2 linked regions of the Oreochromis niloticus genome follow. The protein of the gene in region 2 binds, or shares a complex with, the protein of the main gene of each other region. Links are inferred from orthologs where the notes say so. Each region holds a gene or a part of one and is shown on either strand. Other genes may lie near its edges. The genes, in order: pde6gb and gnat1.

Evidence for each region.
Region 1: the proteins of gnat1 (region 2) and pde6gb are in contact, whole or in part, in a cryo-EM structure (PDB 7JSN), measured with the Bos taurus proteins. The link is inferred for Oreochromis niloticus from reciprocal best matches to the Homo sapiens genes GNAT1 and PDE6G. Residues at the interface, in NP_851365.1 of Bos taurus: Ser140, Arg201, Arg204, Lys205, Trp207, Ile208, Phe211, Asp227, Val229, Glu235, Val236, Asn237, His240, Glu241, His244, Leu245, Ser248, Ile249, Ile281, Phe283, Glu305, Leu306, Met308; in NP_776846.1 of Bos taurus: Arg36, Gln37, Phe38, Lys39, Ser40, Lys41, Pro42, Pro43, Lys45, Leu60, Val66, Ile67, Cys68, Pro69, Trp70, Glu71, Phe73, Asn74, His75, Leu76, Glu77, Leu78.

The regions. Positions count from the first base shown.
Region 1 is NC_031973.2:3,638,094-3,653,639, forward strand, and holds pde6gb (phosphodiesterase 6G, cGMP-specific, rod, gamma, paralog b), read right to left. Parts: upstream 6,444-15,546; 5' UTR 6,331-6,443; intron 4,564-6,330; 5' UTR 4,483-4,563; coding exon 4,337-4,482; intron 4,242-4,336; coding exon 4,201-4,241; intron 4,116-4,200; coding exon 4,039-4,115; 3' UTR 2,670-4,038; downstream 1-2,669. Other genes in the region: oxld1 (oxidoreductase-like domain-containing protein 1), read right to left, coding at 12,155-12,502, 13,358-13,408.
Region 2 is NC_031970.2:17,204,270-17,220,143, reverse strand, and holds gnat1 (guanine nucleotide-binding protein G(t) subunit alpha-1), read right to left. Parts: upstream 7,147-15,874; 5' UTR 6,986-7,146; coding exon 6,880-6,985; intron 5,843-6,879; coding exon 5,800-5,842; intron 5,711-5,799; coding exon 5,569-5,710; intron 5,474-5,568; coding exon 5,316-5,473; intron 5,216-5,315; coding exon 5,087-5,215; intron 4,981-5,086; coding exon 4,851-4,980; intron 4,761-4,850; coding exon 4,607-4,760; intron 4,523-4,606; coding exon 4,332-4,522; 3' UTR 4,306-4,331; intron 4,210-4,305; 3' UTR 3,361-4,209; downstream 1-3,360. Other genes in the region: sema3fa (sema domain, immunoglobulin domain (Ig), short basic domain, secreted, (semaphorin) 3Fa), read right to left, coding at 11,030-11,458, 11,548-11,681, 11,787-11,848, 12,029-12,186, 12,609-12,650, 12,784-12,872, 13,164-13,386, 13,479-13,623 and 1 more. UniProt on the Homo sapiens protein: Functions as a signal transducer for the rod photoreceptor RHO. Required for normal RHO-mediated light perception by the retina.

The sequences.
Region 1 (15,546 bases), on a different chromosome or scaffold from region 2:
TTATGATTTTTATTATTACTCCCAGATTTATTTTTTACTATGCAATGTAACCACTCATGATGGCTTTAAAGGTGAATTTGCCTGATAAATATTTTGTATAAGACAACTGTGTTTCTAATTTCCTTTGAGGACTTGATGGACTGAGGCTGATGTAGACTTCAGGTCCACAAATAAAATTTCTTAACATTTGATAACTTGTCTTTGTACCGTTTTCATGTAATCCCAGGTTCTTAAGCAAATATTGCACTACTGTAAATTTCACTGACAAATCGAGATAGTGACCTCATTCAGGTCAACAAAAGAAACATAAATCACATCAAAACTGTAAATAAAATAAACCACCATTCTTTCAACAGACTCATGTTTTATGTGTATTATTTGCATAAGCTAAAGCTAATTTTATGTCAAACTATGTAAGAACAGTTAAATCATAATGGAGAAAGAAATGTTATCACTATCCAAGTTTCTGCTCGACGGTAATCAGTGCTGCTCAGCCGGGCACTGATTAGTAAAATTAATGTAATTTCATCAGATTACCTGCGGTATAAACTTTTTTTCTCTTTCTTATCACCCCCATGCCACTCACTCAGATGACTCCTCTTCCCTGAGGCCAGGCTGTATCAGAGGTCTCTTCCTGTTCAAACTAAGTTCTTCCTCTCCACTGTCGCCAAATGAGCTGTGTCCAGGACAAAGCATTACATTATCTTTCCTTCTGAAATACCCACATAGTAAGGCCTCAAGAAGAGAGCTCACTACATTAGCTTCTTAATTGGGTTCTACAGTGAGTTTAGGCCACACAGTCTCAGGATGCTGTTAAATTGTCCAATTAAATAAAGTAAAGAAACGTTTAGTGTGAATGGTTGTCAGGACATCAGCGTGTATGCAATGTCCGAGCATCCTAAATTGAAGCAGCACCACCCAACCAATACCTGGCAGAGACAGAAGTAGGCAACCAAGCGCATCGCTGTACAGTGGTCCCTCGCTATAACGCGGTTCACCTTTCGCGGATTTCTTTTGTGCAATTTTGCATGCTCTTTTTTTTAAAACAGCGCATTGTGTTCTGCGCACTGATTGGCTGTAGACCATTGTCAATCAATCTCGTGCCGTGTCTCCTGTACAGTACAGAAAGCATTCAGCTTGTCAAATTTACATAAATCTTCGATCACTAGCAGTGTGACTCTGAAGTGCTGTACTGTGTGTTTGTAAGTTTTCTCCCCAACAAACACAACAATGTCGTTTTGCACCGTCAAAGGCACCTGCGGAAGATGCTAACCATCGCACAAAAACTTGGACTTCTGGACATGCTAAAGGAAGGTAGAAGTTACCGTATTTTCTGGATTTAAAGGCACATTAAGCGAAACAAAACCGTCAGATCAGTCAAACTTCTTCTCAATTCATTCTTCTGCTTCCTCTACTACCGTACCATTGATTCATTAATGTTGAATTCTCTCGCAGCTGCTCTATTCTATTTCATTCCGTAATACCAGACTTATTCTTCTAGGAAGGTTTGAACTTTGAGAGTGTTTAAACAAGAGAGAAAAGTGTGAACATGTTCATTACTGTCTGAGAAAAGTGTATAAAGTGTGTAGTGAGGGGTTTTACAGCCTTAAAACATCTATAATAATTGTAAAAAATAAAGCTGACTACTTTACGGTTTTCACCTATCACGGATTATTTTTAGAACGTAACTCCCGTGATAAACGAGGGACCACTGTACAAACTTATTATTCTTATTTTTAGTCACAGTGTCCTCAAAGATTTAGTTATCCAATGCTGTATTAAAGCACAAGAAGGATTACTGAGTATACTACAAGACACTTGAAGTGTACTTGAATACCCCCAAGTACTTTTAATGTTTTACTATATCCAAGTGAACCAAAAACAGCCTACATTACAAAAGTATCAATTGAAATTACATTAGCCGTCATTTTCTTCCAATAAACACACTAATAAACTCTAAAACTTAAATTGTTATCATGAAGTGTATTCACTACATAATAACGATACTAGGGTGACCAATAAAGTAAAATATAAAGTGGATGTTGGGGTCCTGGTTTCTTGTTAACTGGGTCACTGTTTTTATTGATATTCTTCCTTTTATGTTAGCATAATGTTAATGTTTTCCCAGAGTTTCCTGTTATTAACCTCAGATCTGTTAGTTTTGTCTTCCCCTCTCTCCACTTCTTCGTTCGTAACTGCCAGCATGATCCTCATGTTTTCACCCGTGTCCACTCTGTGTAAATAGTGTCGCTTCACACCATTTTATCTGTATGCTGTGCTTTATAATAATAATAATAAAAGGTCTCTTTTTGTCTTTCTGCTCCTCTGGAATTCATATTCATGTGGATTTCATATTCTCAGGATGGCTTTTTGTGATTTAATGTGCATTTAGTCCTGTCACCAGTAAATTTATGGCAGTCGATTCAAATATTTTCAAGTCAACAACTCAGTCCTGCATGTGCAGAATTATTATTTGCATCTGCACTACCTTAAATATAAATGGATGTGAAAAATGTTACACTAATCATGAGGTAATACAGTAATACTTAAATGTGCTTTAGTGTAAGTTTCCCCCCTGCGTGTACCTGCTGTAAATAGATGCATAATAGGTCTAAATCCAAGCTAAATCCTCCACAGAAGAATGTGATTAGAAAAAAACGAATACACCGTTTTTTATTTTCCTCTTTTTATGCTTTATTTTTATCCCTCGTCCTGTAGAGAGGACAACGCTCCACTACACATGTCTTCAGATCTGTACTGAAACATCCATCCCACTCATCCCTCTGCCATCTTTTTCACTACTACAGTGCATCCACCAGCTTTACATCGTCAAAGCTTGTCAGCATTGTCTCGATTAGATTAATGTTTTGAAAGACACAAGTTTGGGGTAAGGGCCAAAAAGATGACAGGGATAAAGAGGACTGTAGAGCTGAAATAAAATAAACATCATACCGAATGATGGACAGTGAGGAAAAATGTACAACCTACTCTACATGAGACCAACAAATGAGAGCTAAAAATAATGAGCTCAAAAACACAAATACACAAACACACACACAGGGCACAGTAGTGGTGTGTGAAAGTATTAGAAATAAACACGTATTAAATATACAATACATAGATTCATATACACTGATTTATATGGGAGATATACAAATAGCGATAATGTTAACAGAGTACAAAAGTGTGGAAAATGATGGAGACACTCACACTCCTGGTAGTTGAAGAGAAGAAATTGGTTTCCTCAACATTTAAAATCTGCTAAGGTGAGATTAAAGCGGCTTATTTCTTAGTTTGTGTTGTGAAAATGAGGTGAGAGGTTGTTCTTCACATGCCATAACTAACAGAAGACTTCCAGATACCATGAGGGTGAAGATTTGTGCATTCTGGTGAAGATGGGTGCAGTTAAAGGTCAAAACAGAGGGAAAAGAGGGATATCTGATTAACGCATATCCCATTGAAATGTTATGCTTAGCAATAGCAAGCTGGTGTCCGCTCTCTACAGAATTCAGGTTTAGAGTTTTATAGATTCGGCGTCGATGGAAAAAGCCTCTGAGATGGCGAGAGAGGCGCCGAAGCACATGAAATGGGAACCCACCCACTTCACGGGTCTGTCACTTAAACTCAAATTGAGGCTGCCTTGCTTGCGTAAGTTTCGTTTTGTTTTTTGTCCGCGAGGACAACAGGAAAGAAGAAAAAGGAAGGAGAGAGACAGAGAAAGTGAAAGAGAGGAGAGCGGCCGGGCGACGGTGCAGGTCTACTGCGAGAAGTGGTGAGATTTTAAAAAGAACAGACGCTAAACATGAGCAGATGTGTGTGAGCTGCAGAATCACAGAAAGAATCCAGAGTTAGAAAAGAGAAAGAGTTTTTTTTGTGTGGCTTTTTTTTTTCTCTTTTTCCATTTTTTTGTGTTTGTTACAGTTCATAATGGTTCAGTAGTTCCACATAAAGATAGGAGATGGATCCTGAGGCAGATGGTTTGAAGTGCATGAAGGTGGTCTGTAATCCTCAGGGGATTGCAGGGAGATGTGGGAAGGCTCAGATGATACCATACTGGGCCAGCTCATGCAGCTCCAGGTGATTGAAGGCCTCCCACGGGCAAATGACAGTGATGTCTGCAAAAAGACAGCACAGATGTGAAGTTGTTCAGGACCCTGCAGAGCACTAAAGCCAATGGTGTCAACCCTAGCATACACTTACCTGTGCCTAAGCCCTCCATTCCAGGGATATCATCTCCAAATCTGCAAAGAAGAGAATTGTGATGATTACAAATCACTTGATTTGATTTATTTAGTTTTTTACAAGACCCTGAAGAAGAAAAGTATTCAGAGCATACCCCTGGACTCCCTTCTTTGGAGGCTTGCTCTTGAACTGACGAGTCTGCCTCTGCTTGAACTTGGGGGGTCCCTTGCGTGGGGTGGCGGGGCCTCCGCTGACGCGGGTGGCTGACTTGATCTCAGCTTTGGGTGGCTCAAGATTCATTTTGAGCTGTTATGTATGAGAACGTGTGTGCAGGCTGTTAGCGTTAGACACCTCTCTGAAGTGTAGTCGTGGTGGTGAAGTCTTTATTTTTGGGAACAACAAGGGAAAAAAGCAATTAAAAACAGAGAAATAAAGAGAAACTCTCACTAGGTTATTATCTGTAAATCCTTTTAGTGTCAAGCAGCGAATGATCTAAAACTCTAACCATGTCACAGGTAGCACGCAGCTCCTGTCACCTCTATTTGACATTACCATCTATAATCCTATTACAGATCTGATGAGCACCTGCCAGGATTTACACTCTCATATTTCCCAGCACCTGAATGTGGTGGACCACATTGCAGCTTGTCCTGCTGGGATGACCCAATTACCCATAATCCCTGGCTCAAGTTAATACGTGTGCTCTCCTTCTCTGGTTCGAGCTGATGGTGAACTCGTAATCTTGTTAAAGCAAGGACACCGCTGCAGAAACGCTGAGCTATGCACTGAAGGTCTAAACGATTAAATCCGCTCACCATGTAATGACACAGACAACCCTGAACAGGTCTTAACCATTAATGTGGTTATACTGGATAAATACCAAGGTTATTACAGCTAACGCACAATGCTAACTAACACAAAAACAAACAAAGCAACAAACGTCCTGATTTTTAGTTTTTGCCAGTTTGGTCAAAGTTGCCATCACAGCCTGTCTGAGGAGGCTTTAATGGAAATGTTTGTGTTTCAATTCTGAATTTTGCCTGGAGAAACGCCCTGTGGATTTAAAGAAAATTGGGAAATAAACTAAGAAAAACTAAACCTAAACAAAAGCAAATATTTTTAGACAATTAGAAAAAACAAAATTAAAATATAGAAAGTAAATTAAAATCAACTGATTTAAAAAAGGGGGGAAAGTACAAAACCTTAACACTGCTGTTTGATAATGTCAGATTTTAGCGCTCTCAGTTTCATCAGCAAAAATGTTCGTTTGGTGATCAAGTCATTTTTTACTGAACCAATCTACTTATACACTTAATGAAACAAAAATAAAAAATCTGTTACATTATCGTTCTCTGATATTCAAATAAAAAATATTACCTTAACTATCGATTTATCTAACATGTTGAATACACATGGGCAAGACGTCTTTCCTTGATATTCATTTAAATAAATAAAAACAAGCAAAGGCAAACAACTAATATAAAAGTAAAACACTTAAAGACAGAAAATTATGATTGAGAACAAAAACATGGCAAAGAAAAGAATATGTGTGGGTTGAATATAATCACATATCACATATTCAGAGATCTGCTTTTGTTTGAGCCACAGTTTTAATATCAAGAATTTTAAAATGAAACTTTTTTGACAGCTTTAAACAGGCCAAACCGAAGTGAACCTTGTTGTGAGATCATTTTTAAATATTTTTTCTGTCCAGGTTGTTGATAAATGTATCTGTCAGGTGAATAAATAAAACTAAAACTTGTACATGAAACAACATCTTGTTTTATCCATGTTTGGAGTAAGTTTGCACTGTAGGCAGTTTTTAAATAACTGATAACTGAGTGTTAAACAGCATCGGTCTATAGATTACAGAAACATCTGCACTAATTTACTCTGTCACGTTTAATCACATTATAAACGACACCACAAATTGCTGTTTACTTTTTTATACCCAAGCGTGATCATTTCTGGAGCTCTAAACTCTTTTATCTGGATTATTTTCTCCTAATAAAGAAACAAATATTAACACCCACGTTCTTCACTGACACACACACACAGCTGCAGAAGAGCAACAAAGTTTCCCACCGCTCTATTAAATCCAGACGGTGTCTGAATATCAGCACTGATCGGTGATGATGGTCTACTCACCGGCTGCTTGGGTGAAGAACAGCCAGACGAGTGGGTGTGAGCGCAGCGCTGATCCGTCTAGCAGATGAGTGGACTTCTATGCTAGGCTTGCTGTGAGGGCCAGTCGGGGCTTGTGGTCCCTCTTATAGCCGACACCCGCGGGAGATTACGGAGGCACCGCCTCCCTTCTCGACTGTCAACAGTTCACATGTTTGAGGTTTAGGTTAAACTGTAATGTGTACATAGGTGTAAAAGTGGATTGTGCACGTTGTGAACAGCGGTGGAGAATAACTGTGCACATTTACAGTCAACTTCAAACATTTCAGTGAGAAATTTCACTGTGAAATTATACAATTGTTCGTATTATTATTGTCTTACAGATGTTTTCTCATATTTTGTAACCATACATTGAATGTTAATATTTACAGAAGCTACACTACAGAAATTTTAGAAAAGATAACATTCTGGGAAAAATTATCTGTTTTTTTTAAAAACTGATTTTATTGATTTTTTGCACTTTTTCAATGCATTATATTTATCTGGCAGCTGCGGTTTCTAAAGCTGATATTCTTGTACACAACATACTTAAACAAACTAAAATTATTGATGCCCACTGATCTACACTCACCAAGTTCTTTCTCACAATATGTCCAAACCAGCCTTGTGCCATTCAGGACATAAATACTGATGCTTTCAAAAAGACATGACCAAGACTGCCTGTTGTAAAAAACCTCGCTGCTACCGTTTCAATGCTTTCCTTTAAGGATCATGGTAGAAAAGTGAAGATATTACAGAAATGTGGTACCTCTAGTGTCCATGTGCAAATTTAAAGCAGAAGTAAACATGTTTACAGCCTGCTACAAAGTTTTGGCCTCTATGAATAGTTTCTCCCTTTTTGTAACTCACCTGATTGATTTTGTTAAGCCTTAAATTCATACATGAGGCCACGGTGATTAACACATTCAATGGTAGCAGTCAGCTAAGACCTTTCACTTTCTGAGCGTTTCTGTGGTAATTATCTAATAAATAATATGTTTTGAAGTTCGTCCTTCAGTTTTGGTCAGTGATTTTCTACTATTTTATTAGCCTGTTACTTAGGACCAATTAGCAGGTAAATGTGTCTGTGCACTGCACCTGTATATTATAAGACAACTGGCAAATGTAGCTGACAACTTAGCATGTCCCTCTATAGTAACGCCTGGTTCCCAAAACCCCGTGATGCTATTAAGGCTGCCGGTGGGTCACGTTACTGTGGCTACATCCATGATTTAAACCCAGGCCACAGTCTCCTCCTGCACCTCCTAAACTGAATGCTTTCGTTGCTTAAACCTGATCAAGTAATGAGTGACAACCAGCTGCTTTCCCTTTTCCATCAGAGCATTCCAACAGCATGCAACGATGAATGCTGTTTGGGATTTTAGATTAGGTTAAATAAGAGAAGTGTCCCTTATATAGCTGGAGAATAATAGCAGTTAATTGGACAAAATAATTAACAAATTGATCAAATTAGGAAAATTGTTGCAGTCCTGATGCAGAACTCAGGTAATAACAGCATTTTTGCTTGCACCTCACTAAATGGCTTAAAATGATGAAGGCATTTGTATCAGAGTGAATTACTTAATTTACTTATCTTGTAAATTAATATAAAGATTTTTAAAAATTACAGTACAGTACATGACAGTACATAGATGCTTGTATTCATCTATGTATTACTTATTAGTTGCAGTTATTTCTAGAGCAGTGTTTGTCTAACAGAGCCTCACAGTTTTGTTTAATGAGCTCCTTGTTTCATGTGTAAATGGTTGATGCTGAACTCTAAGCATCAGGAAGATCTGAGTATTTCTTCCAGAATCACTTTGGAAATGATAGATTGTGGAGGAAAGATGCTCTGTGATAAATGCAGTTTGCCATATAAAAATGATCTTTATGTATTTTACAGTATTTGTAATGAAGTTTTCCAGAAATGTCTTTAGAAATCCTCTAGGTACTGCTAATTAAATTAGTGATTTGAGTCAGTAGGATGCAGGATGAGATCACACAGCTTACAATATGTTCAAACAGATTATAGATGGAGCTGGAAGCTTCCTGAAAGCCCCACAGTCCCACTCCATCTTTGTTATGCAATCATCTCTCCATCTGCTTAAGGCGAAACCCTCCAATCCTCCAACCCACAGAAATCTTTTACATTGTCTGTGTGTATCAGTGTAACACCCTGCAGTGGGGGTACTCTTCATTAAACAGGGGACTAAGCCAACATCAGCAGCTCGTATCTACATGCTAGAGACATACTGAATGTGGAGACATCCCAAACAGCAGCTCGGACTTTTTTTAATAATTAAACTAGAAGGACCATCACAAAGCAGTGCTAAAGAAATCCTTCACTCATTTGATACTGACCTTCACCTTTAAATGAAACCTGCAAAACAATGCATGTAAGTTTAAGTGAAAATTTAATAAACAATAAGAAAAAGACAAAAGAAAAAAAAAAGGAGAGCAGGTAAACAGGACAAATAACAAACTGCAAGAGAGAGAAGACAAATGTTAGTATGTGCAGTCATGGTATATACATGTATAAAAGAGGCAAATTGAGAAGATACTGATTCAGAAGAGCATCATGGGAAATCCCGCAGCAGCCTAAGCTAAAGGACAGTTCAGGGTCAAATGGTCCAGCCCTAGAAGTTTTATCGAAAAGAAAAGTTTGAACCCTAATCTTAAAAGTAAAGAAGGTGTCTGACTGAACCCAAACTGGGAGCTGCTTCCACAGCAGTGGGGCCTGAAACCTTAAAGCTCTGCCTCTGCCTCTACTTTTAGAAACTTCAGGAACCACAAGTAATCCTGCACTCTGAGAGGGAAGTGCTCTGTTGGGATAAAAGGGCTATAAGATTTTTAAGATGTGATGGGATCAGACGTTGCATGTGAGGAGAAGGATTTTACTTAAACTCTGAAACTTAGATTTAAAGACACTCTAGATTTAAAGACACTAATGTGGGAGAGTACTGGCCACGCTTTCTACATCCTGAAAAAACAAATCTAAATGTAAAAATTAATGAAAAAGGGAATCACAATGAATCACATAATCTTTCCTCTTTGGTTCAATATTAGCTTGATTTTAGGATCCTTTAAGAAAAGTGATTGTTGACGGAGTTCGGCGGGGCCCTATTTTTGGCACATTTCTTTCTTGTCTTTGCAGACGACACAGTTTTATACATTTGAACTCATCTGCAGTTAACATTTAATTCTTTCAAGTTATCAGTTTTATCACTGACTAGTTTAAATGCAATGTTTTCTACCCACACCTGTGAATCTGACTACGTTTGGTGAACACATCGTTCTTGACGAGTTCTTGTATAGAGCTACAGGCACTCTGCCTTTATTAAACTACAGAAAGGTCCAATTTTATGGCAGTTTGAAAGAAACTGAAAAAAGAAAACTGTTTAGCGCTAACTTGTGACTTCTTGCAGCTTACTGTTCGTAGAACCTTCCCCACTGCAATGATGCAAAGTGTCATGTTGCAGCCTCGGCATCAGCCAATAATCTGTCTCGAATGTTTTCCATCACGTCAGAGTCATTGCTCTACATATGATCAGTGAAACGTCTCATTCTTAATCCGCTGCATAACCCAGATCAAAGCGTAACTCTGCACGCTGTATGGCTGGCTGCAGCTGCAGCACTGGACCTTGAGTAATCAGGACTTATAGTGCATCACTATTACTGGACTAATGCTGACTCAGTGAGATCAGGGTCACTGTCACCTCAGATACTGGTCCAGAGGGACTGGGAGAAGGCTAACTAAAGACGTCATTAAGGTGGCAAGACCGAACGTGATCGGCTTCTTCTCTGACACATCAGAGAAGAAGCCTGCAGGGATCTAAATCTCATTAACAACACGAGAACAATGCAGTGTTTTACATACTTACTGTAAATATCAATAAGAACAAAGTTTGATTTCCTGAAGCCACAAAGATTTTATGCTTGTTAAATATTCTGACTATAATCACATTAGAGTATAAACACTTGGAGCTGGTTGGATAAAATTACATGATGATGAAATAAACAGGTTAGGTGGTCATATATCTCATTTTCCCAGTACAGCAGACAGTTTTATGCATATGTAGCTCCCCCTTGTGGCTACAGGGGCTATTAAAGTTTTTCAGGCTTGAACTTATTTGCATGTTTGGTTGTGAGCACCAACTCTCTGCACAAAAATAAAGCACTCTGAATCTGACAGTAAATAAAAAATATTTATTTAACAAGCATTGGATTAAAACTAATTTCTAATATAATTTAAATAAACTCAAATACAGAGAGGCAAAGTGTTGTTCTGATGCTTCAAATGTGCAAATGCTGTAAAGACACAATGCAAACCAATCAAACACCAAACAGCACGTGACAACAATTCAGACATCCCTGAAGTGTCAAACATTGCTCCTCTTGTCAGCTCGTGATGCTGTGCACATTACAACTATTACTTGCAAAGGGACAAAAACTCATCACACCTTCTAAAAAGCTGCAGTTTCAGACCCCTGAAAGCTCAAGCTATTTATTTCTTCACTGGACTAGTTTGTTTTATGTTTATTCACAGTAACGATGGTCTTTCATGTAGAGAATCGTTGGACTGTGTAATGATGCAATCTTATGCTTTATAGCAGACCACTGGCTGGGACTGCAGTCTGTGCACAACTTCAGACTGTTGGAAACAAAAGTTGTGGCAGGTTTTGATTTGAGTGAGGCCTTAATAATCAGACCTGACTGAATTCTCCAAATACTAAGGAAATGTGCTTTAATACTTCATCACCTCCTTTAACAGAAGATACACTTTATGAAAAGAAATAATACCTTCCAACAAGTCATATGACCCACAAAGAAAATCTTGCACTGAGGTGAAAAGCATCTCTTAAGCACCAAGAGAAATGTATGAGTGGACAGCAGAGTGAATAACATTTCCTATTACAAATATTTGGTAATAAAGTGCTATTTTTCACTGGATTGTCTTTGGTCAGCCTGCATGACTAGCAAAGAAATCTAAGAGGACCTGTTTGTAGTCCATCTTCATGATTCTATAGTTTTGCAACAGAACGCCCCCATCGATAACATCTGCCCTGGGGTTATTAAGCAGCACAGTCAGGCGGAGACACTGAACATGAACCACAACTGAGCTGGACCAACAAACAAGGTTCTAACAGAAAAATAACATTTCACACTGTGAACTTCAAGGACCCTGTATGAACAACATGAATAACCCTTCCTTAAGAAAAAAACGAACATGTCAAGATCTAAAAGGGTCCGACTGCCATCTGTTCTCTGTACACTATGAAGCCACACAGGAAGCTGGAACCTTAGATAACTTAAAAACACTCAAAGTTTGGAGAAATACTTCTTGCCTCAACTCTTTTACAATGAGTTGCTTTCATTTTCAAATTAATTAATTTGATATTCCTAATAAATTTCTCCAGCCTTTGCAAATTTAAGTGTTTGTGTTTTTTCTTTCATGGTTGAGATTTCTTGACATCCTGACAGATCTGCACTGTCTAAATGAAATAAAGGCCAAAGCAGGTCTGAACAGATTCCAGTAAAAATCAAAGAGTATTTTTATCCTGAGTATTTATGATTTCCAGCAACCTGCCAGATGGCGACTCCTTTTTTTCCTGCTTTGTTGAAGCAAATATTAGATAAGTGCAACATAACAACGACCATCAAAGACCCAAAGTCTTATCTGTTAATGTCTGCCATCTTTCTAAAATTAGACATATACTGTGGGACCCACAGGATGAAGGAGGAGTGAAAATGTGGAGGTACACTGTGTGCTGTAAAATATCAGCCTGTGAAGGGTTTTTGGCTGCGACGGTCACATCTTTTTTAAGAGTCTGATCTCCATCTTCAGGTAAGTTTTAAGGTTCTCATCGAGGACGTTCTCCTCAATAGCAACGAGCGCTCGCTCGCTTCCATCGTTGTAGTACTCCAGCAGCTGCTCTGCGTGTTCAATCCATACGCAGTTGTGACAGCCACTCATGCAGCAGTGCGTGGGAAGCGGTGGGGGACCCTGGGCAGGGGTCCAAGTGGAGATAGAGTCACGCTTTTGTTCTGTGTTGGCGGGCTCAGAAGAGTCCGTCAGAACAGGAGGAGCAGCAGGCGAATTTGGTCCTGCAGGGAGGTGGTGAACAATCCCGCTGTGAACATGACTCGTCCATAACTGCTGAGGACAGCGAGAGAACCAGTGAAAATCATGTGAGACACGATGAGGACACATCAATCTGTCTTTAAATTTTAGTCTATTAAATAGTAATCATAACAATAATAGTAATAATAATGATAATGTAAATATTAAAAATCTCTTAATATTTCAGGTGTGTGTGTGTAAAGATACTTAAATTAGTAATATGGTTAATAAAAACCCTGACTGCTTAATATTCCATTTCCTATCAGACACTGTAAAGATTTTAGTGAAACTGTGCATTGTGGTGGATTCAGTAAGTTAAAATCAAGCTGTTCTGTGTACATGTACAGTAGGTACACTTTCATATATGAGTATAATTACTGAAGAAAGGAAAACATTTGTGCCCGGGGCGCTGTAACTTGTTGATCCTAGTATGGTCTCAATAACAATGGTGGTAATAATAATACTACTACTAATAATAATAATGACAGACTGAATTCTCAAGCATCTCCGTTTTCTATCTGCTCTTTACAGGGTTTAAAGGTTTGATCCTGGTCTGTAAAGCCCTCCAGCCTCTCTCCAGTTTGTGTTATCTCGGGTCGGCAGTCTAAGGAGAGCTCCCCAGAGCTACCTTTCTCAAGTAACGTCCTTCAGCTCTTCTGGGAGGGACACCGGGGCTTTTCCAACCCACAGAGAGACAACCTCTCCGGTGTTTGCTGGGTTTCCTCTCAGTTGGACGTGTCCGTTAATTAAATGAGTGTCTTTAGGCTATTGTCGTTTTCGAGATAAGAATGATTATTACTATCAAACGAATGACCGTGTAAAGTTACTCCAGTGTTAAAAACATAACGGACATCATCCGCTGTTAAACGAACCGTTAGCTTAGCCACCAACCTTTCGTAATGACACCGACGACCTCACGGCTTTAACACCCGCACACAGCATTGCAGAATCCGGCAGGACGCGCGGTTATGTTTCTGTGTGGTTCATTTTCTCCAGAGTGAATGTTTAATTAAGCTGTTCCTTCCCGGAGTTTAAAACTTCTACCATGTTAGCTGCTGTAACAGCTAAAGCTGCATTACTTCCCATTTTTCAACTCTGACCTTTTGAGGCTGGTTGTAAACAAAAGCGGTGATTGGCCAGCATACAGCATATCACCCAATCAAATGGGGGCTTTGTAAAATTTAAACCAATTGAAAGCATTGATTAGGTTTTTGGGCGGGACATAAAAATATTTCCCTCATCTGGCCAGCAGGTGTCAGTATTCTACAATACAAACAAACAGCAGAAACGGCAGTAAAGCCAGACAAATATTATAGACACACATTAAAAGACAAAAATAATATTGGTTGTCTTCACTAGACGGGATGATTACTATTAATACTACAGTATTTATTTTATAGTAGTAGTGTCTGATCACTTACCGCACTAGAAATGCCAAATTTGCTTTGAGAGTGTTGATGGAGAAGTATAGAGAAGGTCAGGAGCTTCACTGTGTTTTGGTGAATCTTCTTGATTGAAATGATATCAGGCAGGAATTTCCGTGGACTGTGATGCTTGTAGATGACACTGTGATCTATAGTGAGAGAAGGGACCAGGTGGAAGAGAGCCTGGAGAGGTGGAGGTATGCTTTGAAAAGAGAAGCCAGAATACATATATGTGAATGAGAAGGAGACAGGTGGAAGTGGATGAGTGAGTGGATGAGTTTAAATACCTGGTGTCAACCATCAAAGCAGCAAACAGTGTGCAAGAAAGGTGAAGAAGACAGTACAGGCAGGATGGAGTGATTGAGTTATGACAGAACAATAGCATCAAAAGTGAAAGTGAAGGTTTACAAGATAATAGTAAGGCTTGCTATGGTGTATGGTTTGGGGATGTGGCACTGATCAAACGACAGCTGGGGGCAGCAGAGCTGAAGATGCTCATTGGGAGTGACCAGAATGGATAAGATTAGACATGGATACATCAATCGACAGGTCAGGTTGAGCAGTTTGGAGACTAAGTTAGAGCGGCGAGGCTGAGATGGTCTGGACATCAGCAGAGGAGGGATAGTGAATACATATAGTGTTTTCCTTTGGGATAATAATAATAATGGATTGGATTTATATAGCGCTTTTCAAGGCACCCAAAGCGCTTTACAATGCCATTATTCATTCACGCTCACATTCATACACTGGTGGAGGCAAGCTACGGTTGTAGCCACAGCTGCCCTGGGGCAGACTGACAGAGACGAGGCTGCCATATCGCGCCATCGGCCCCTCTGGCCAACACCAGTAGGCGGTAGGGTAAAGTGTCTTGCCCAAGGACACAACGACCAGGACAGAAAGGCCAGGACAGAAAGGCTGGGGATCGAACTGGCGACCTTCCGGTTACAGGTGCGCTTCCCAACCCCCTGAGTTCTTATCTTGGTGAATTTCTGAATGCTGCAGAACATAATTATTTATGTTAACATAATTATTTTTAATATATATTTATCCTTAGTGGTGGAACATTATTATGGACATGCACTGAAATAAAACTAGTAAAAGTTACTGTCTTCAACAGCTACAGTGGTGAAATCATGCACACACATTAATGTCACATATATTAATATAATCAGTCACAGAGGAGCTTGTTTCTGCGATGAGTATTTTTGCTATGATACTTCAGGTATACTTACCTTTATTTAAAAAACAAATCAGCTGTTTCTAACAGTAAGAATAGATTATATGGTGTAGAAGTAGTCACTGTAAGATTGGTTCATCTTTACTGGCTTTTAGTGCCGTGCACCAGTTTAACATGAAAAGGTAAACACACTGAACTAATTGACCAGAAAGCATGTGGCCAATCAGGCCAGACAGTTTCTATTCAGCCGCGACATTGTGATGAGGGTTACGTGTTCTTTTCATTGCACTGTGCACTTTACCCGCACACAGTTATCTCATTCCTTCTATGGATTAAGAGCGGGCCCATTTAAACAAACAAAGGAGGGGGAGATTTTCCATTAAACTTTACCTCTCCTCTTGGCCTTGTGTTTTAGTGGAATTTAAGATCAGGGATCAGGGGGTTGAGATCCTCAGGCTAAAAACAGAAATTTGAGTAAG
Region 2 (15,874 bases):
TTTTGGTGGATGAAAATGTTGCCAGACTTTTTCTGTGGGAAGATGAGGATTCATCCTTCGTTGCATTTTGGCAGGCAAATCATTGTGAAAGTGGTGAATAACTGTTGTGTTCTTATGGAACAAAAAAAATGTCTGTTCAGGTATGAATGTGTGTGATTATGTTTGTGTATGCACATTTGAATTCTCAGCTGAGCTGGGAATCATAATGCTGTGTTAATGGGAACAGTGCCATCTAGCCACACATGAAAATGCATAGCCTATAAAAACACTCAACAAAAAGTCTCTCTAAACATGATGATTTGGTGCCTCCGTGCAGGTGATTCACACTAGATCAGTGCTTCTACATAAGGGCTGTATATTAACAGATGATAATAACAGGTACGAACTGTCAAATCCACAGGCTGCGTTAGATCGTGCTCATAGGAATGTCGTTCTTTTTGTACACCTGAGGCTGGTTTGCAAAAGAGCCGAAACTATTGCCACTATGAATATTTTTTTTCTTAAACCGCACTAGCCATATTGCAAGGATTTTAAACTGTCTTCTGTCTTAGTTGTGTTTTGCACATCACATCAAACCTCAGTATCCAGGGAGTTACAGACAACATAAAGGTAAACTGCCTCCTGCTTGTTAGCTGTTAATTAATTTCTGATTAGTATTGAGCTAAACATTGATCTCTCAGGCGTCTAGCTACTCAATGTCTTACAAAGAACAGAGCTGTGCCACAACTGTATGAGCGGGAGATTAATGACGACTCTTTAAAGTGCCTTCAATTTGTCTTCGTTTCTCTGGATGCTGTGAAGTGCATATGATAATTTTGTGAATAACATGGCTGAAAAAAAGGCCACTGTTATGTTTTGCAAAAAGAGTCATTCCATGTGTATGTACAGTTTTACACTGATTATAACATGAAGCTCTTTTTTTAGATGTAAAAAAAGCCATAAAATGCATTGTTTTTTTTTCCCAATGATAGTTAATTTTCAAGAAGTGCAAATTGATTTTTCATCAGTTTTCTGTCAGACACGGTCAGTATACAGACTTTCCTGCAATTTAATTTGTGTTATCAGGATGATTACCACGTGGTGAGAACTCAGGGTTTAAAATAAACACATAATCAATGAATGCTTTCATAAGAAATAAAACTTTTTGAAACGTTGCCTACAATATCTCGAGATGGTGCTAGTTTTCTTGCAAATGTTACAAATTGCTTGTCCGAGGTCACAGAGTGGCTACACTGAAGTACAGTTATACTGTGAAAACTGATTTTCTTCCACAAATATAAACAGAGGATGTTGGGGGGTTTTTTTTAAATTAGCTGTGATGTTTTATTCGTGTACAGATTTTTTCTTCCACTTTTGCCAAACATCCTGACTGTATATTGACTGTAGTGAGTGCATTACACAATTACATCACATTATAAATGTTTTATTTGTAGGAGATGGCTATTCATGTTCTTTGATAATGTGCTGCACTATATCAGTGATATTTAAGTTCTCTAAAGGAAATTACCCCAATCACTTCAAAGTAATAGTTGTAGGAAATATACACATTTATTTTCTTCCAAGGAGTTAAATGAACATTCATAAATCTGCTAAAAGAGGCCACTGTACTGTTTCTTTGAGCAATTATCCTAAGTTTGCAGAGGGAAAATGTTTCCTTTGCTCTGTCCAAGGAGAAAAAATTACATTCTCAAGTACACTGAAGCTTCCTGCTCAGCACATAATTTGTTTAATCAAAATGAAAACAGTCTGTTTAGTCCGTTTGTGGCTCTGACACATTAAAGGGGATCTATTAGTCTCATTTCCAGCTCCTTATTTTTATTAATTAACTCTAATAGAGTTATTTTGCATTTTTCACAGTTTAAAACAATATTTATCAAATGGCTTTGGTTCAGGCCCTCAGCTCCTCCTCTTTCTGAAACAAGCTCTTTTAGCTCCCTTCTCCCGTTCTTTAAGCTAACTTTCTCCTGATTGGTTGCCCCTTTGGGCAGAAGAGATGATCACTGTCATCAAACAGGATCAAGATGATGACACTTTTTTTCTTTTTGCCTCTGTAAACGCTTGAGAATCGAGGAAAAAGGAATCTTCCCATTGAACTTCTTTTGTGATTTCCTTCCTCTTTGGAGCTAAAAAGGGCCACCCAAACACATGAGATATCAATGGAAACCCCCAGATGTCCTCTTTTGAGGTCAGGACTTAGTAGGGTCAAAAGATGTAGACCAAAAACAAATGTCCACAGAGGACATAAATGAACAGGCTGGTTCTCAGGAGGATAAACCATCACAGTGGGTTTTAAGTCATACAATCTTAATGTGATTGAAGTGCAGAACCTTCAGCTTTAATTTAATGGGTTTTGCAACGTATAGTATTAACTACTTTGCAACGAAAACAGTTTTTATTGCTACAAGGATGATTTTAAGTAACTTTTTTTTTCAGGCTCAAACCCATGGAGTTCTTCAGCTTGTTTGCTGGACTTTCTACCTTCAGTTTGGCCTTCGGTAACTGAAAAACATGCTGCATTTGGTTGAGATCTTGTGACTGATTTCATTTGTTTGCATTGGGAAATTCTTGTCTTGCTTCTGCGGTATGTTTTGGGTCAGTACCTATTTTCACTGTGAAGCACTGTCTGATCTCGATTCCACTGGCAGACATGCATGTACCATAGTATTGCCTCCACTGTGTTTGACTCATCATGTGGTGGGCTTCAAATTATGACCTTTTGTCTGTGCAGGCTCTGTAAGAGGTTTTCTGGCAACGTCTAATCTTGTCTTTCTGTTTTTGAGTTCTCGAGCAGAGGTGATGGCTGAAATTTTTGGACTTTTAATTGTTTTCTAATACATTTTAGATCTTTTTTCTGCTGATGAAGATAGTGAGACATTTATTTTGTATTTTCCGCCTAATAATGACCTTCTTGACTTACATTGTGATCCCTTTGGACCTAATTTTGAGATTTCCACTGAAAATATATGAAATGCAATTTCAACCCCTGGACTCAAGTTCAGGTCTCTCTGCTTAATTTGACAAAGCAACAAGCTTCATTTGGACATGGAGTTGTCAGTCAATTATTCTATTTTGAGATTCTGAAAATCTACGTATAAAAAAATGTAACTGCTGAATAGTTACTGTATTTTTTTTTTTTTTTTTTTTAAATAAAACCCCTTTAAAATATTTGTTTAAAAATCCAAGTCTTGTGTTATACATTCGTCTTGAGTCTCTACAGGGAGGCAAAGAATCTTCAACGCAGAGCTGTTCTTTGAACGTTTATGAAAAACTAAAGGCGGTCACTTGTAAAAATGCCACGTTTCAATGATTTAAGGGAAATATTCAGTGAAAATAATAAATGTGAGATTCTAAACACAACACTGCAGAGTTGCTTTTAATTTGTGAAAGACTGAGAAGTACTGAGTTTTCTACAGAAGCTTTAATAACTTTGATCAAGGAATACAATTAGTGGTTTCTGTACAGAATTGTTGGCTCAAAGGCCCAGAGTTTTAATTAACTTAAACAAATCTTTGACAAATCTATCCCTCGACTTTGTTACATATCATCAACATGGTGTCGCCATACTTAATTAACTGTCCAATAGAAATCTGCTTAAGTATATACACTGGCCATTTTCAACTATTGTAAAGAGTTAGATTTCCTAACACTTTCATGAAAAGTTCAATTTGTGACATGCTCGAGTTATGTTACAAACTGCTGTATTGTGTTTGTACATAAAAGCCGTTTCTAGTGAAAGGTTCTGTTAAAATATCTAACAGAGGCTGAAGTGCATATGCAGGTGGTTAGGTCATCTTCTTTGCCCTTTTGGCCATACACTGATCACTTACCGTAACACAGAGACAATGCATTAGCTGGAAATGTTTTCACATTACATGAGAAAAAAATCACTGTTTGCTGACAGAAGCTCCTGATGTTTTAACTACACACTGCATGCCCCCCCCAAAGACCAGTTCAAGAGACTTGAGAGAAAAGTTAGATGAACTAAAATTCAACTCATCTGAAATCTGCACAGAAGTTTCTGAATTTGGAGCTATCTGAAAAGAAGTCCTTGGTCAAAGCTAGAACTTAATTTTGAACACAAGAAATAGATTTTTATTTTTTGCATTCGCTGATTTGAGGATGGCTGCTTGCAGGGGCAGTTTTCATCTTCAGGCCTCAGTTTGAATTGAGAAAAGGATCTGTGAAATGTGATAGGGCTGCACCAGCACCCTGTAAAAAAATAAAAATAAACAGGAGTGAACCATAGTGACCGATGACAACAGTTCATCTTAATTATCTTTAAAATAATTTTTCTACTTTGCTCACCTTCATCTGGTTTTCTGCGTGTTTTTTTAGAAGAGACCGCAATCCTTCAGGTTTTCTTTGATGATGATGTCGGTTACGGCATCGAACACAAACTTGACGTTCTCTGTGTCGGTAGCGCACGTCATGTGAGAGTAGATTTCTTTGACGTCTCTGCGGAGGTTCAGGTCCAAGAACTGCATTTTGATATAGTTACCAGCATCCTCATAGGTATTGGGGCCTGGGCGAGAAAGTGTAATTATAAAGTTTTGCTTTCATTTAGCTTGCCACTATCTTAAATATGTATTTGAAATGATTATCTCACCATCATATTCAGGGAAACACATGCTGAGATGTGCTTTCTTGATCTTCTCAACGAACACGTCTTTCTTGTTGAGGAAGAGTACGATGGAGGTGGTGGCGAAGTAGCGGTGGTTGCAGATACTGTTAAATAAGTGCAGACTCTCGTGCATGCGATTCTGGGAGAAAAAAAAATCCCAGTGAAGAGACTTTCCAAAAATATGGACCCTAATAAAAGAATATCAAGTATATAGTTTAACTTGTCATACCACTTCATCATCCTCCACCAGGACCATGTCATAGGCGCTCAGAGCGGCAATGAAGATGATACAGGTCACGCCTTCGAAACAATGGATCCACTTCTTCCTCTCTGACCTCTGACCACCCACATCAAACATTCTGCACGGGAAGAGGAGCATGTTGCCTTGTTTGCCACCGTGCACACAGGAAGCCCAGCGGCTGATTTGTTTGTCTTATTCTCTTGATAAACATTGCTCCGGCTCACCTGAAATTGAGATCTTTGAAAGAAAACTGAGTTTCGATGATACCAGTGGTCTTCACTCTTGATCGCAGCACATCCTGCTCAGTGGGCACGTAGCCTGGTTGGATCAGTCGCTCCAAGTCATTCAGATAGCTGCCGGGGGGAGAAAAAGGGAATCAATCAATGACACATCCTGATACAAGAGATTAGAATAATGTAGCAATGTTAAACCTGAGTAAATGTGATTTCTTACTATCCAGCAGAGTCGTTGAGTTGGTACTCTGAAGCTCTGTCAAAGCATGCCTGTATGCCAGAATCTTTCCACAGACGCAGAATGATATCTGACATTTCTTTAGGCATGGTGCCTTCCTCAATGGTGTCTGCAAGATGCATGAGTTTCCTGGCATCATCCTGCACGGAGGCATGCGTGCGTTTAGTGAGCTATCAGGAACATGAAATCTGTTTAGCTTCGTATGTATGTGGAAATGAGTGTCAGCAGTGGTTACCTGCTGATCAGAGTGCCCGTAGTTGATATTGAGCGTGTTCATGGCCTTCACAATGGCCATGATGGACTGCAGGGTGTTGCTGTAGATGATGGTAATAAACTCCAAGCATTCTTCAAGCGAGTAACCATCTTTGTGGATAATTCTGGTGAGAAAAATGTAGCATTAAAAAAATGCAATCTACAGTCAACTCTAAAAGAAGGTCAGCACTGCTCAGATGCAAAGTCAGCTTACTTCATCTGTTTGACAATAGTGCTTTTGCCTGATTCTCCAGCACCTGTATGGAAGAAGAACAAGAATTAAATTGTTTAAATGACATGTTTATAAAAATGCTTTAATCATGTTTAAGGATCTAGGGAAAGATAAGTGTTTAATTTTGACCTTATTTTTGTGCTAATTTTGTGTTTTTGTGTTAATTACAGAAGACCTTATGGTTTTTATCAGATAAAGGACTTCTTACTTCAGGTCTAATCTTTTCTTATCCCTGACCTACATTACTAGAGGACACAAAAAAAGCTATAAATCACACAATATCCACGACTATTTGTCAGATAAATATACCTGACTGTAATACTGAGTGATTTTCCTTAAAAATTCAGTATTTCTTTATACAGCAAAACACAGTGTGGCGTATGAAATTACTGGTTAAGCTACTGATCTATCTAAAACTGTAAATCTTCACAGACATGACTTTTTACAAGCACATTTCTCATTGATTTATCGACACATTGCATAAAGTGTATTTTAATATATATTTGAGGGCTACAGCCACAGGCTGTGTTTGGGTTTTGTGGTATCTGTGTCCTTCACGGTTAAGCCCTTTGTGCTGAAGGACCTGTTGTTTCAGGATTAACAGAGGATCGGCTTGAGTGATTATCAAGGTGTCTTAGCAATTTAGGGACACAGGTGATTAAGCCTTTACATGACACAGACATGTAACTTCTTATCAACGCACTTAAGTTGTTTTAAAATTAGGCAATTTGGTAAGTTTTTAAGGGTTTTTGGGTAAATAAGATCTATCCATAGCAGTACTTCTACTTTATTTGTATGATTATTTGACATCAAGTATATGAAAAAAATTGCGTCAAGAAAAAAGGGAGTTTTGTATGTTTTTTCTTTGCAAACTCAAGTTTGCGAACAGAACATGCTACAGCCAGAACTTCTGTGCAATACAATGTCTCTCCTACACTTTAATTAGAATTAAAAGTGCTCTAATTATCATCAGCATGGGCCCTTAGATATGTATAACCAGATATTGTTGTTTTCTACTAATGCGTCTTAGCCATTTGGCTCTACCAGCTCTCCTGTCTTTACCTAGCAGCAGCAGCTTGACAGTTCTTGCATCCTTGTCGGCATCCTCCTTCAGTTTCTTCTCCAGCTCCCTGGAGCGTTTTTCCTCAGCGCTGGCTCCAGCTCCCATCCTACTTTACCCGGCTTGGGCCCCCTTTGCTCAAAGGCCAAGTGCCAAGAAAAATGGAGGCAGGTCCTAGCTGCTCGTCAACAATGTGACCGGAGCCTTCAACTGTGCAGCTGATGAGTCAACTGCGTGCTGCAAACACTGGAGAATGTTTGAGCATTTTCCTGACTTAGGAAAGGATTTTGGGCATCCTCTACCCACCTGATCAGTGGTGACCAATAGAGCACAAGGACAGGAGTGCTTTTAGGGCAGAGCGAAAGGTGCAGGGGAAGACTCGGGCATACATCAGTGTAGGATCTAACCTATCTAACCTTTATGGGGATTTTGCTGTGCTCAGCGGAAGATGAACAGCGGCTCAAGTGCTTATCTCTCTGTGTTGTTTTTAGGTGCCTTCAAACAGGACCATGTGAGGCTAAATATTTGTGATGCTAGGTGTTTTATATAAGTGCAGTTTTGGTTAACCAAACGAAATCCATTCCACATTAGCAGTAAGTTAAATTATTAAATCTGGGAAGATAATGAGTGTATGTTTGCATGTTGTGTGCTTAGTGCTTTTAAGGGACTAAAGATAGATAAAGGTTTTGTAATTTGTTTTTAAACAGACAAACAAAGACACAATTGTATTTAATCAATTAGCCAATTAAATACACAACCAGACGCTCAGCTCCAGGTCCAAATATGAAATACTGACATTTCTTATTACATACTACAGACTGAAGGGTGAGTTCTGAAGTGCTTAAAGGGCTTTAGGGTTTCACCCGACAGATCTCATTGACCTCAATCTGAAGCTGGTTAAGGATCCTAATCTACTCACGTTCAGTTGTCTATGCATGCTTGTATGTACAGCATGTGCACTGATGTGTTACGGATGAAATACATTTTCCTTAAAAATTCAATAAAGCAATCTTACTGTGCTCTTATGAGGAGCTCAAAACAATAAACTCACTGTGAATGAATACACTGTAGCAAATCAGCACAATGAGATAATTTACTCAAGAGCTCTACTTTAGTATACCGGTAAGTGAAATTTATTAATCACTTCTTTACATTTTTAGCCACTTTACACTTCGGGTTTGCAGCATTTTAGAGTAATCCTTGTACTTTTTACTCCGTTGGGTTTATTTGCCACCCACAGATACTAGTTACCAAAATTTATATTAATTGACTAAAGAGTGCACAAGATTAATAAAAAGAATAAGATACCTGATCAACTACCACGCTTAAATAAAGTACTATTTATTAATATGATTAATATTATTGATATACATTGACCACTACTTTATTAGGTACACCTGTTAACTATTGTGTTAATGGAAATATCTATCACTCAGTCCCAGAGCACTAACCCAGTGCATTTAGCCATGTTAACATGGTCAATTTGGCCTTATTAACTTTTTTTGGGGGGGTCTTTTCCCTCTTTTAGGAAAATAGCTACCGGCACTGTGGTTAAGCTATCCATACAGCTTTTGTTTTGTTTGGGCAGTAAGAGACTGACATTGTATTCATGCATATGGACTCAGATTGCAAATGGAAAAAAAGACACATGATCTTGATTAGTTGCAAGATACAAGGTACAACACAAACTTGCTTCAAGCTTGGGTCTTTTATCTCTCTCGTTTAGATTATGGAAACATTTTAGGTAAAGTGACACAAAATTAATGTATTCATGTTCCAATGACTGCCAATGCTGTCCCTGATATAATATCATAGTCTAAGCTCTCAAACACTCACAGTATAGGCCTATTACAAGGCTATCTTCAGAAGTGTTTTCAGCATGTTGCTGTTGGTCTACTTATCTGCTAATTTTACAACTTCACTGAGTATTTGTACTGCGTGGTTAGCTCTTCATACTACCATTTCCACTAGATCTTTACAGCAGAACCAGGCATTATCTGCTATTAAAGTAAAAACTTTCACTCATTTGAAAAGTAACAGAGTAGGTGGGAAAGCCAGTGCAGACGTTTTTTGGTGCTACTATGATTGAAGTGTAAGGAGCATGGGGCTTTTTGAGATTGTTTTAGAACAGTGCCAACCACATCTGTATTTACTTACGTATGGTTGTAAGGCTGTTAGGAAGAAAGAAGTGCCTGCATGGTAGGAAGCATATCGTACTATGTGCCAACATTGGCAAACAGAAGAGAACATGTGTTATTATAAAATATAGAGCTTTAATTTATTAGTCAGCAACAATGATAAGGAAGAAAAGGTAATAATTTTTTACAAGTCATTACAATAACACCAACTGTGCATACATAACTTTACCTCAAAGTCTGCAAATCATTTGCTTTTCTGATTTTTTTGAGAGCAAAAGAGAATAGGAAGAGAGAGAGAGAGAGAGAGAGAGAGAGAGAGAGAGAGAGAGAGAGAGAGAGAGAATAAAAATCACAATCTTGCCTTCCAGACTTTCCCACCATAAAAAGGTGTGACCACATCCATAACATTTCCATATTCCCACAACAAGAAAGACATTCACTGACATCCACAGCAATGTAGAATTTTAGACAAATACCACATACATACACTGTACATGTCATGCACAATGAAAAGCCACCTTCTAAAGATTTTGGGAAAGGTTTCTCTTCAGGTTTGGTGGCAATCAGCTTTGCTAGTGTTTGTATTTGTGACACCTTGTAGAATTTAATCTTTTTCGTGCTTTTATATGACGTCTGTGGCGGAACCATACTGGCAAACATCGTTGTTGGTAAGTAGTTGATACATTAAGCACATCCCTAATCGGAAACATTACTCTCCAAAGCTCTGAACATCAGCCCAGTTTTTGTAGACCGATTACATTTTTACATATTCACCTAGTGAGAACTGATATTGAGCATAGAAATGTCAGGAATGGATTAAGAGAGCTAAAAAGAAATTGTTAAGCCTACAAACTGAATGCTTTGCCTTATATGAATACACTATGTAAAATGCCACAGATATTGGGGAAGTATTTAATATTTTTGAAATGACCAGTTCAACAACAGAAGGTGCTTTGTTCATTTTATAATCACAAACTGTTACAAACTCACACATAGCTGCCTGCTGGAATATCTTTTCCCAAAGAGAGAAAAGAGAAGGCAATGTTATGTTATCAGCTTTTGTGTCATTAAAAGACTCTTTCCCCCCCAAAAGAAAACAGCTTATCACAAAGATCACGTTAAGGATACGACACTGAGATGTGATATTCACATATAAACAAAACAAACACTTGGCAGCAACGATTTTGGAAGAAGATGAGTAACAGCTCTACTTGAGGCCCAAATGGACCACATCGTGAAAGGAAAGACGTTCTACCTGCCACAGAGGGCTCTTCATTCACATATAACTGTACGACCGTGATGTCACAGCTGCAGTCTCTGGGCATTTCCATTATCCGTGCATGTCCTGTGAAATGCCATTTTCATTGTTTTTTCTGTCAACAGCTTGTACTTTGCAGTAAAAAAACAAAACAAACTGTCCAATATACAGTACATAGATCTGGTGAAGAAGTTCAGAGATTTACGAGACGTTCGCGGACATCCCGACTCCTCTTTCAGCTTAGACACTGAATACTGCCAGCAGTCAAAGGATCCAACATGGTCTCCACTTAGCAGTTTCTGAATACATGTCCATCAGTTCTTGTCCATGTATGGATACTCCCAATGTCTGGGTTTAGTGTCGCTGTTTCTTAAAAACACCAAACATAAAGATATTCTCAACAAAATAACACATCTTAATAAACAATAACACTAATAATAATAATATAATAACCACAATATTTGCACAGATTGATCTATTCACAAAAAACAGGGTTGCTAGATAGGTACAAATAATTACTTTTTACAACCTACAATAAATATTGTGTATTTCCCCCTCCCCCCCATCCCCAGCAGTTACATAGAAACTGTTTGATGCTGTTGCGTTGTGTTTCTGCAGTTTCTGTCTTGTCTTTGATGAGAATTTGAGTTTTCTATCTGACTGGAGTCATTCCCCTAAATGGAGGGTTGCAATGTTTAGGAGGTTGTGTGTAAAGGTAGACAGGGGGTTGTTTGAATACGATGTACATCAAGCTTCTCATGTCTCAGCTGGAGTTGTCTGCTCTTCATGATGCCGGCGGTTACGAGGTTTCTTTTGTTCTTTCAGCTCTTTCAGGCTTTTGCCTTTGTTGTTCCCGAAGCTGCTGTCTCCCAGTTGCCAGTAATCCTGGCAGTACTGGTTGATCAGCCCCATCTCTGGCTGGCTGAGGATAGTTAGCAGGTCCTTATACTGACTGGCACTTGGAGTCCAGGCACTGGACTGAAGCGGAGGAAGAGCCGGGCTGCCTGTCTCCACCAAAATGTTGTTGACTGTGCGACTAGAAAGGACCACCAGTTGCAGTTTCACAAGAGTGTGCTTGAAGTTTTTCTCTGTGGACGTACACTGGTAGATGCCGCCGTCAGAGGACTGTAGAGAGCGGATCAGAAGTCCTTGATCTGTTTTCAGCATGCGACCCTCTGAGCGAATCTGGGACAAACAGAAGGCCAGTAAAGATTTTAAGTTAAAAAAAAAATAAACAAAGATTATAGAAGGTTTAATATAAGAGCTATACTCACCTCTTTCCTGCGGTCACTGTTTTCCTTCTGCACATGCCACTTGAGAGACATATGAGGAGACCTGGCCTGGCACTCCAAGAATGTAGTGCTTCCCTCCACCCCGTACTGAACTGTCTCCAGAGGGTTCTTATTGGCTACAAAACAACACATGATGTACAGTTGCAATTTTATTTGTGAGATAGCTCTGGAGTGAAAAAATGCTGGTGTATTCTATAGTCTTAGTACAACGCGACACTCACTGCTATAACCTCTGCACTGGCGGATAGGATTTCCATACTTCACATCTTGCCGACGACTCCGCCTAGAGGGGTCAAATCAAAAGCCACAGATATAAAATTTAACTGAAACACACTTGAAAAATAAGACATCTGCATAAATACTCCAACTGCAGAGATGGGAAGTAATGAAGTGCAAATACTTTGTTGCTGCACTTCGTCTGCTGCATTTATATATTCCCTGTCTACACAATCCTGACCCTCACCTCTTCTGTGAGGCAGAATATCTGGAGCAGGATTTGCCATCCCAGGCACAGTACGGGTCCCTGGCGAGACAGCAGTCAGCGCAGACCTCCCCGTACACATCGCATCGATGGAGAGCCAAGTGGGTCACACCCAGGACTGATCCGACATACAACTGTTGCTGTTAAAAGAAAAATAAATACAAATTAGAAATTAAAACAGCAACATACTTTAGAGCAAAGGCCATTTATTTTACAATTCTGGACATCTCTAATGCTTCAAGGAAGAATTATAGATTTATATTTAAAGAATGAATAATTGATTGAAGCTACTTGCGTTGAGTTTCTTCATCATCCTCAAACTGACATAAGAAGGCTCCGGGTTAGGCTATACTCTAAGCTACCCTCGAGTCCTGTGTCTGTTTTCAGTATAAGCTGCACCAAATTACACAAAATGTATAGTTGGATATCAGGTCTTGGTTGTGTACTACAATGTTTTGTATTTAATCATGCATTTTTTTCTTAGATTGAATTTGATGACTGTGTTCCTGTCTGATTGCTGTTAGCTGAACTATTTGGTCTGAATCAAATTACACTAACTTACCCTTTTTGATGAAATCTTCATAGTAGTGATTGGAGTGGGAACCTGAAGTGACATAATTAAAAGAATGTGAACGCTGGATTTGTTATTTTGTATCACAGATTACAAACATGGCATATATAAATGTAGAGTAGGGCAAAAAGATTAGTAGCAAAGTGACTAAGGCTGCAAGACTGACCTTGAACACCTCCACTTCCTCTAACACCAGCTCCTCGGTCTGCAAGTCATCTCTTGGCAGGACAATCACTTTCTGGACTGTGCCTCGATCTGAAAGAGTGGGAAGAAGTAACTTTGGCTGAGCTCTGTTGATTTATTTGGCTATTAATACCTTGACCTTGGTTTCTTCATTGTTATTCTAAAATATGTGCAACAGAGAACTGGTTTTTGGAAACCCACACTATGACTCATTAATGTTTAAGAGACAGATTGTTTCAACATGTGCGTGCAAACCTCCCAGATAAAGCCAAGGCCACAGAACTTAACAGTGCACAATGATATGAGTGTAAGATTACTGTGCAATCATCAGACAATGCCCAGTTTTGTTCTTAAAACACTTACCTGTGCCCAAGAATAGCACCTCGTAGCTCCCATCAGCAGCTGTCACTTGATCGACGGCAATTGTGGTGAACTCGTAGTCCACGTTGGTTCTGACCACCAGGGGGCGCTTGTGCACTGGGTATACAGCGTTGTACATAGTGGGGTGGTTTCTCATGAAGTTGATAACCTCATCTGGGTAATCCTTTGTGGATTTCAGGTTGGGGGTAAAAGTGCCTCCAGGACACTAGTAAGAAAACAAAAAATTTCTGTTGAGCAATTTACTTGTTTATCTTATTCATGGTTCTAGTAACATATATATTATATGTTTTAACTCACAGTGCCAGGTCGAGGGTAGGGTATTTTCCCAGTGTATGGCACCCATTGATAGTTAGGGCCTTCCTTATGGGCAAATGGCCCATTAAAGACCATCCGGATGTCAGCCATAGAGTACACACACACTGCCGAGCCTTTAAACACAGATCTGGAGGAGGGCAGGAGGAAAAGAAGAAAAAAAGGTGAACACATAAAGACAGCAGCTCGAGAATTCAGATTTTCTCACTCCCTGGGATAATTAGTGCGATAGCTCTCCGTGGCTGCTAGAATCTACTTCCTTCCCACGTACTCACATACTTACAGGAACACACTGAAACATTATGACGCACAAACACACACTCAAACTGACTCAAGTAGAGTCAAGCTGTCTGACACACTGACATACAAACACCCACATACTGCAGAGAATCGCCAGAGTACAGGCTCTCGCCGCTGTGTGGTGGGTGTACTATGTTTGTAACTTCTGTCATGGGCCCCTGTCATTAGCACCACATGTGTTTTTATCAGCTGGGTTTAAACATGCCTGATGCCTAAAGAGAAGATGGAAACAATAACAGTATTTGTTTCTCAAATACATTAATCAGGACATGTTTATTATGACTCTGCGCGCACCTCCTCCTGCTTTGTGTGCCGTCAGAATCTCAGTTTACACGTCTGGTTGGTTGACTTGAATTTTAATGCTGTGTGCTGAATGACAACCTGCTATCAAACCTGACCTCTGAGGAACTTATAGGCTCAGTCAGCCTCCCAGAGGAATGCTACTCCCTCTGGGCTCCACATTCACTTTCTGTCTCGTCTTTGCATCCTGAATGTGACGGCCCACACAAATGCAACGCCGCATTTCAACATCAGACAGAGCAGACAACCTTCGGGCTCAGCGAAAAGGAATAAAAACCACAGGAGGGAACCAAAACACACTTTCTATCCAAAACTGCATCAAAGTTAGAGAGTTTGAAAAAGCCATCACACGCTTACCCTGAAACTGAGAAGACGCCATAGATGACAGGATTCTTTGTGTCTTGAGTTGGCTGGATATACACGTCTCCTACGAGATAATGAAAAGATTTATAGCAATTAGTCAGAGTCATAAACCATAACAGGCAGTGCATGACGAAGTACTTGGATCCCTAAGTCGATTGCAACAGTTAAATGATATCGCATTAGTAGACATTCTGCAGGTTTGCTGGCAAAAATACATGAAAAGTAGACAGAACCACTATGCACAAAATGGCCATGTAATGAGTGCAAATGCACAATTTTACTCCTGTGATACTCCTCCCTACTCTGACCTGTTTAAATCTGAAAAAAATAAAACTGTTAAAATGAACCTAACTAACCCAAAGTAATGATACTTGTGACACTGAGACTGTTTCTTCCTTCGTTGTGAGCTCATCATGAATTGCGGTTATGAGAGTCTCAATGAAATCCTGAATCTAAACTCTTCCAAAGCTGAAACTACAGTTCCTGAGCCTCAGCAGGGAATATATGTGAAATAGAGATCTCGGGTGAAACATGGCTTTAATAGGAGCCATATGGATCCAGTGACTGTGGGACTGAGGCGGTTTTGAGCCCTACATATCCTCTGATGGTTTCATTAGAGAAAAGTGCAAGGAAAAACAATAAGAAGGAAAACTGAAATAAATTTAATGCAGACAGGTAGAGCAGGAAAACACCCAGTTCCATTTCATGGTTTTTCATCAATGGAAAAGAAGAAACAAGTTCTCAAATCACTTGTTTGAAAAGGCCTTGGACAAAAAAATACCCTATAGTCAAAAGTCTTTAGAAAATACCAATTTCAGTGAATAGCCATGAAATCCTAGCCTTTCTTTTTATAACCCATAGTTATCTGAAAAGCTGAAAACAAGCAACAATAAGAGTGTGGATCCGCCTGCTCAGATTTCTCGCTCAAATATCAACTGACTGAAAGTAAGAAGCAGCATTTTAAAGAGCGAAAAGAAAGTTATGCATGTGGAACTGAAGGTGAAATGTAATAACACACGCTTTAATCTCTGTACCCTCAACTTTACTCAGCGTGCATTGGATAAACAAGAAGAAGCTTAAATCCACATGGCTTGCATAAAAACATCATTCCTGACTCTGCAGAGCTCCTTAATAAACAAACTCCCTTTTGATCAGGAGTTTAAAATCTTTTCAAACATAAAAAAAAATCTCCTTACATGCCAAGGTATGAAAATGACAGGTAATGGCTCCCCACTTAAGCAAAAAATTAACTTTTGGCAAACACTGCAGAAATTCATAACCCGTCCGACGCCAGTTTGACAGACCTCCTGGCTATAGAACGAGTGCAGTAAAAAAGAGAAAAGTCATAAATCGGCGACGAACTGGAACAAGTTGCATAATTCAAACTTTTGTTTCTGATGTGTCAGATCAGACAGAGT